2 linked regions of the Drosophila melanogaster genome follow. The protein of the gene in region 1 interacts with the protein of each later gene in a pairwise test. Each region holds a gene or a part of one and is shown in the gene's direction. Other genes may lie near its edges. The genes, in order: Jig and Lrch.

Region 1 (3,019 bases):
GCTCCTGCTGCGGATCAGTCTCCCCCTCAGCATCTGCATCCGGATTGTCTTCCGCTTCCGTTTCCGGCTCGTCCTCCGCCACTCGCGTCCCATCGTCACACACGTTGATGGGCTTGCGCTCCAGCAGGGGGCGTGGCAGGCGGCTCAGAAAGGCCGAGCAGTAGGTGCGGATGTTCTCGCACTCACCGGGATTCCGCTTGACCACAAACGCACACGTCTGGATGATGTCATGCAGCGTATTGTCCATGTACTGGAACACCAAGTGCTGCTCCTCCGCCTCGCCATGCGTAACCACTTTCCCATACAAACTGCCGGCGGTGGAAATGAAAAGCCAATTAGTGGAACACCAAACACGCGCTAAAGTTCATCTCACCCAACTGGTTTTCCGGGAATATTCATTTCCACCTCCTCATATTTGCCAAGTACATAGTCGAATCGCTCTTTCGCATCGCTTTCCTCCATCTGTGGAACAGAAAATAAAGTGTGTTTAATCAGGAGGACTAGCAACTATAGATTGTGTTAGTTCAAGTTAAATTGTGTTTTTAAATAGACCAGTATCATACTCACATCTTCAATGCAGTGATTGGGCGGAATGCAAATCGTAAACTAAAAATGCATTAAAAAATTATAGGGTGCAAAAACAATTTACACAAAGTACTTACCACATTGGGTAATGAAATAATTCCCAGGCACAGCAGCAGAGAGCTAAACAAATCCATGGCTCAACCGTTCGCTGATCAGCTAAAAGCGAAACTAACTGAAAAATCAGAGCTGGTCAGCGCATCTACGTTAAATTGCGAAATATGAATTTAAAATATTCACGCTCATTGTTCTCGCTTCGCTTGGATGTAAGATGTGACGTCATGATAATTATAAAATAAAACAAAACAACCAAACAATTGGGAAGTCATAAAGTAAATCTTACACGCGAATCTAAAATTTAAACATATTTTGTACTCAAATAAAATTTTGATACCCGCAAATAAGGGAAATTAACCCAGTGCGAGCTTAAAGTGCAAAATACTGCTATTAACTTTCTGCCTGGTAGTTTTCTGCATTAATATCTGCCTTTATTTTGTGCCTGGCAAATGGAAAGCTGCATAAACTAGCATTCAATTATGTATTATAAAAAGAAAACCTTTGGATTTATGCCATAAAAGCCATGAATCTAAAACAGGGGATTATTGTACCTAAACAAATAGCATATTAACTATTTATGGACTTGCATCCGCCGCACTTAACAATCCCAAATGATTGAGATATTTAATGGACTCTGAAGATGGGACATCCCTGTGATGTACCTTTAATAACTTTAATAACTACGCCGATCAGGGTAAGTTCTGAGTGAAGAATTCGGAGAAATAAGCCAAAAGTCGATAGGAACAGCTGAATAAATTTGGCAATTATTTGTATAAGATAAACGTATTGAACAAGTATATATTTCCAACAAAAGTCCCCACCAGCAGATGACAATTGGTTAGCTATCATCTTCTTGTACAATTATATAGATACAATAGATATCAAAAAAAAACAATCATTTGATAGCACCAGTTGGGTAAATTTGCATATATTCTTTGGTTTTATAAGTCACCTGGAATCATCACAGCGGTATATAAGACCGTGCTACCATCCGAAGACACCATCAATCTGAAAATGAGGGCCACATCGATCATCTTATCAGGAGTTCTTGTCCTGGTCGCTTGCCTATTGAGGAGTAGCGAGGCGGTGACCTGCACCGCCGACCCCAATGTCACTGGATGCATCGACTGCACCACCAGTCCAAGCGATCCGGAGTGCGTGGCTGAGGCCGCTAATACCACTACGAAACCCGCAGATGGAACAGATACCACGACACCCACCACAGGAGGAAGCACCGATGCGACCCCGGCGGGATCTACAACGCCTACTTCGCCAAGCGGCACTGTCACTCCAGCTCCGACCAGCTCACCTAGTGACTCCACGTCGCCCAGCGACTCCACACCCACTTCAAACAACGCGGCTGCTGTGGCCAGAAGGAGGAGGAGGATGGCGGCCAGGAGGCGCGCTCAAAGGAGGAGGCGTGCACAAAGGAGGAGGGACCAGAGGAGGAGGAGGGCCCAAAGGCGCAGGAGGCAAAACCAATCGGGCTAAAGCCAACATTCGATTTTATAAAATTTAAAAAAAAATACTAAATAAAACCTATATTCAGCATCCAACAACAAAAATAGTTTGAACAAATTTTTAAGAGTTCGCTGTGTAGAAATAAGTATATTGTCTTCAAACAAAGGAGAAAAAATATTATTACAAAAATTAAAAATATCTCTTCTAATTGGTACTTTAACGACAACGTGAAGTATATCTCTTTGAAAAAATTTTTATTGGGTAGTTAATAGTTTCACCTCAGAAATACATAATAATTAAAACTTTATTTTGATAAAATCATTTGTTTTATGTATAAAGAAAATCTATTTCACAAATAAGTTCAAGTCTATTTCTATTCTAAAATAATTTTGAAACCATTTAAACTAATTGTATTGTACAACAAACAAACACAACCTTCAACCGAAAAGCAAAAAACTATCCACAGATGGCATTGATCATCTTGTGGGTACACATTCAATAGCAAATAGTGTACAAGGCAAATATTAAAGAAGAAGTCATCCATTTCTAATAACATACATACACTTAGGAAAAAATTCACCATTTTTGACAAATTTTAAGTCATGTATATTTCGAACTGATGAGAGTTTTATCATATATGAATACAAGTCAAACCAGGCTTCAATCAGATAAATTAAAATATACTCATTTTCTATTCTTGAGTAAATAGGTGAAACTAGTTCATTTCTCAACTTGGATTCACAGCCGATAGTTTACGATTTGGCAGCAAACAATGTCTAATATTTTATATGATCGTATAGAAACAGCTGCGTACATATTAGCGAAAATCGCTAGATAGGAAGAGCGCCCCTTGACCTCGATCAAGCCACTATAAAAGCCTAACCAAAATCCGACATCACCATCAATCAACAATCCCCAA
Region 2 (4,988 bases), on another chromosome or scaffold:
TAACTACTTTCAAAAATACTGCTCTTAGTAACATATTTGCTTTGAGCAATAATACTAACTGGTTTGCGTTGTTGCACAATGCGATTAGACTTACCTCTTGGTGGTGGACCGGATTTGGGAGTTGTGTGATTGCAGCACGGTCTTCCGATTTTGGAAACAGAACCCGTCGATCCAAAACTAGATGGTGCCTTCATTTTGCTGGGCTGCGGGATTCCGGTACCAGAAGTAGCGGGCGTGGGAATATTGGATCTGATGGGACCCGGTAATTTGGAGGCAGTGGCTCCTGGTTCCGGGTCCGCAGTAACTGGCGATGGAAAAGGGGCACTTGTCCCGCCCGAAGCGCTCGTATCATCACTCATTTTTTACTTTATTCTTAATAATCTTCACTTATTAGGACACACGCGTATTAAAAGTAAACGATTTAAAAAACTTGGGGGAAAAACAAGTGCAAAAGAATAATTTTTGGTAAAATAAATGGAATGCTGATCACTTACCTTAACAAATATATGTATAATTCGCTTAATTTGCTTTTATTTTATATTTTTGCTACAAAAATAAATGGATTTTTTTTATTTTTAGCTAGGTTTTGAACCACTGTTCCACTTTTGTTGTTGCTTTATTTTGGCGCGCAGGCAGCTATCTCACTCGCACTTAGGCGGCTGCTTTAAAACAGCTGACTGAGAGCAGATTTCTTTTCTTCTTTTTTTCGTTGAGCTTGAAAAACAAACAAGACCGCTTTTTGTTGTTGCTCTCGTTGGCCAGAACTTCGTTATATTTTCAAAAAATGCGGAACACAAATATGTATTGAATTAATTTTATGCGACTAACAAAATCACTCAAGGGTATTCTATTTATATAAATTCGTAACTTTTTATTTATAATTTTGTGTTGGGCTGCTTGCGCTGATATTCATCAGACTTAAACAAGATTAAATTGAATCAAATTGCTTATCAATTTGTGCATTTCACACACACACACACGCACGCTGTAGCTCTGTTCTATATTTTATTGTTGCTGCTGATTTGACACAGTTATAGAAGAGGGAACCATTAGAAGAGGGTGGGAAAAGGGACGCGAAAACGCACTCTTATTGGTGTGTGTTTACCGCACACACACACAGTACTTAAATAAACTGGAGTGCTTTACATACTGTGCTGTGCGAATACGATTTAGAAATATACGCGATTGGGATTTTACAATTTTACACAAATTTTAGATTTTTTTTGCACTTAGTTGGCGTTGCGTTGGAATTTTGTTGTTGCACTGAGTTAGCGATGGTAGCACAGCTCCAGTGCAGCGCGCCAATCGATAGTTGCGGCTATATTTTCCCGAGGTATTTTTAGAGTAATGCGGTCATACAAAAACACCCTGTAGGAAATTGGCGAATATTTATTCGTGAATATAAATATGTAAAATATGAAATTATGTCACCAATAATGGAAGCGTCGCTGAGCTTATTCAGATTTGTGATCTGAGCCCACACAACTGACAAATTAACGAATTTATAATTTAGTCTAACATGGTTTTTTAATATTCAACCAGTTTATTGCCGGGTTCCAATACCAGGTTACCTGGTCATTTGTTCATTTTTTCTTTAAGTAGTTATATGAAATGTTTCGGTGTAATAACGACTCAGTAATCTAATAATGCCCTAAATTTGAAGGGGCAAATGCTAAACGGTAGATCATTCTGAATAAACAAACATTACATTACATTATAAAATGTAAGATTGTTGACATTTCGAATTGCGATAAAAATGGAGCCAGTGTATCATCGGCGCACTGTGGTATTTTATCGATAGTACTCAAAGGCACGCCGATTTTAAACTAACAGCAACGTTTCCAGCGCTGCCCAAGTAGCATCCCATAAACCGATTCAGTTGTTTTTCGATTTTCGTTGTGCACTGTCGCTCGTCTGCTGCGTGAGCTTGTGCGTGTGTGAGTGCGCGTGTGTGCGAGGAGGCAAAGAAGAGGAAGCAAGAAGGAAGCCGCAAAAGGAAAATCCAATTCCGAGAAATCTTATCAATGAGCCAAGAAGACGTACACTAAATGAAAAATAATCGAGATGCGTGCGTTTCAATAGAGCAAATTTAGTTTCCAGTTTCGGTTTCTTTCGGCACTTCACTCCGTTTCCTTATCGGTGTGATAGTTTAGCGCGTGCGTGTGTGTGTGCAAGTGTGTGGAAGTGTCGCCACGCCTACACGGGAAATGGCAGCAACGGTTTACCAACGCCTACATAGCGTCGCAGTCGGCGTCGGCAGCGCCGCTGGCAGCGCCATCGGCAGCGGGTCGGCTTCCCTTCCAGGATCTGGAACAGGATCGGGATCTGGAATAGGCCACGCTGGAAACACCTCCTCCTCCACCTCGTCTGCCCTGCTTAGTCATTCCCAGCTGACGCGCTCCCTGGAAAGAATCCTGGAAGAAGCGCACTTCAGCGGCGAACTGATCCTGACCAATCGCAAGCTGAAGGACTTTCCCAGGACTGGAACGAAGTACTCACTTACCGACACTGTCATCGCAGGTGCGTACCGCTATTGTATAGTGTATATTCGTAAGGGAGAACAAAGAAAAGGTGTTCTTCAAGCCGGTTTCGTAGCTCCGGAAAAAATTGGGTTTTCATTACTTCCTAAGTAAAGTTTAAACTGTTCTTAATAATACTTAATGTACGAAGTTAATAACATTTTATTGGAAAAAGCATACATTTTTATATTACAAAGTTAAATGGTATTAAAGTTGATTAGAAAATTGTTAGTTATAAAGTTTTCTTTTGACGTCAGAAAAAGTAAAAGTAGAGTTTACATATGTACAAGTACTGATAAAGCAATTAAATTAGTTGCTTATCGAAAATGTTTGGCGTATGTGTATACCTTTAGGGTGCGGCATTTAAGCAAAGGAGGTTTGTTGCCGGTGAGCTAACGAAGTTTTTCCATCTCCATTGCAGTGGCGAATTTTCCTTTTGTTGCTTGAAAATCAATAATTTGCAGCAGCCGTCGGAGGTTCATCCTTTTCCTCCTTTTCTGTCCTCCCATCAGCTGCTCTTTCTCTCTGCGGCTCTCCCATTCTCTCCCTTTTCGGACTGCGCTCAAGGACAATAATTACCGCCGTTATTCGCTCTTCGCCACTTTGCACTATTCGTGTTATCCTTATTTATTTTTATTTTCGCCGCAGCCGGCACGAAAATTTTGTCGAAGTTCAACCAACTTTCGTTTTTGTTAGGACCAAAAAATATGCACCAGCGGAGAAATAGTAAATGGGAAATACCCACCCAGAAAATTCACCGCCCTCTCGCAGGACCCCGCCCCCTCTCACAGCTGCTGCTACCCTCGAACAGATGTTCTCACAACGGGACATGTCTCTCATCGATTTTCACTTGTGTTTGTTGTATACACATACAGTAAACGCTCTGAAAGGCGAAAGGATACGTAGATAAGGTTAGTTGTCATTCTAATCGCTGAAAAAGCGAGATATGGCAATTTTCCATCTAACAATACTTCACAGATCGAAGATTATGTTCATTGAAACGAGACAGATTATAAACTACAAAATTATTTTAGTTTATTTCTTTTAATTACTTACACAAAGTAAATTCCAACTATGAGATGTTATTATTAATTTTAAGACTTATTATGAACGTGGAATGTCACCTTTCAGAGGACGCACTGTATTTTGATGTATTTTCGGTGGAAATGTCTGGAATAGAAGGAAACTTTTTATTTTTGGACTGCGAAGATTAATTGCCGTGGAAGAGAGATAAAAATAAATTGTGTCATAAATTGAAAACTAATTTGGTAAAAGAATAGGGAAAGAATTCAATAAAAATTCCACTTAGCCAGTGCCTTGGATGATGGATAATACCGGAATTGAAGAGCAACAAAAATAAACAAAATTCTCAGTTTGTCTACCATTAATTCAATTAAAATTACATTTTTATAAAGCAAACATAAATTGACTAATTAATGAAACTGAATTGAACAATGCACTTCGATATTGAAAAGAGTACGTAACAAATTTCGGAAGGTTTCAATTAAATTTAGGATACTAGAAGTGTTTAAAGAGATAAAACTTAATCTCCCCCTAACCTAGGAAACATATTTTTAATTTCCTTCCAATCCACTCCGCTCCCCGTTTTCCGCCTACGTGACTTGATTTTCGAATTAAGCTGTGACAATCCGTGACTTATGGCCACGCGCTATTTGTTCGAAATGGGGAAACGATCCCTTCTTCTTTGGAAAACCCTTCCCCACATGGAGAGCCAACGAGCTTCCGGTTTTTCGTTCATTTTCGAATAAGTTTCATGCGTTTTCTCACCAGCAATTGAGTCATCGACTGCGAAGGCGTGACTAATTACTAATTAAAATGCTGGATTTTTGGTGTGAATGGACATGTGGAAAATAGAAAACAGGGGGAATATTGAGATACGCTGAACCTCTCGTTAGGGGTTAATCTTTGGGGAAAATATTTGTAAATACACCCTAGCGAAGAACCTCTACAAATTGCCTCTTCGAGAACAATGAAGCCACCCTCGGCGAAGGGTTTTCGCAAGTGGGGGCGGTGGACTTTAAGAGGTGGCAACGGCTCTTAGCCTTAATGGCTTGCAACCACAAGGGTTTCGAGTTTCCAAGAAATCGATGATTCTAAAGCAAAAGAAAGTCAAAGAAACTGAAACAGAAAAAATGTGGGAGGGGGGGGGGGTGTATACACCGACCATTTTTCTTTTTTCTTTATTTGCACGCATGCCATTTGCAACCCCCGAAATGGCATGAAATTAAGGGGAATGGGCAGGCGCCTGTCAGCATTTCCTAAAATCATTTGTTGTTGCGGTGTGGGTGGGAGGTAGCCACACTTTTGTGCATTCCTTTGGGGCGTTTAATTAACACGCGTGTCACGCAAATCAAACAGAACCATAAACAAAAACCTAGACAAAGGACGGCACAAGAAAGAGTCAATCGAGTGAAGCGAAAAATCAACAGCAGGAAATTGTTTAAAGTA

Evidence for each region.
Region 2: the proteins of Jig (region 1) and Lrch interact in a two-hybrid assay, tested with the Drosophila melanogaster proteins (one large-scale study listed by BioGRID).

Annotation. Positions count from the first base shown.
Region 1 is NT_033777.3:14,559,329-14,562,347, forward strand, and holds Jig (Jig), read left to right. Parts: upstream 1-1,606; 5' UTR 1,607-1,653; coding exon 1,654-2,130; 3' UTR 2,131-2,193; downstream 2,194-3,019. Other genes in the region: CG14854 (uncharacterized protein), read right to left, coding at 1-308, 374-462, 568-606, 663-719.
Region 2 is NT_033779.5:17,381,002-17,385,989, reverse strand, and holds the start of Lrch (Leucine-rich-repeats and calponin homology domain protein), read left to right. Parts: upstream 1-1,874; 5' UTR 1,875-2,207; coding exon 2,208-2,520; intron 2,521-4,988. Other genes in the region: CLIP-190 (cytoplasmic linker protein 190), read right to left, coding at 95-359. UniProt on the Drosophila melanogaster protein: May play a role in the stabilization of the actin-rich cell cortex during cell division.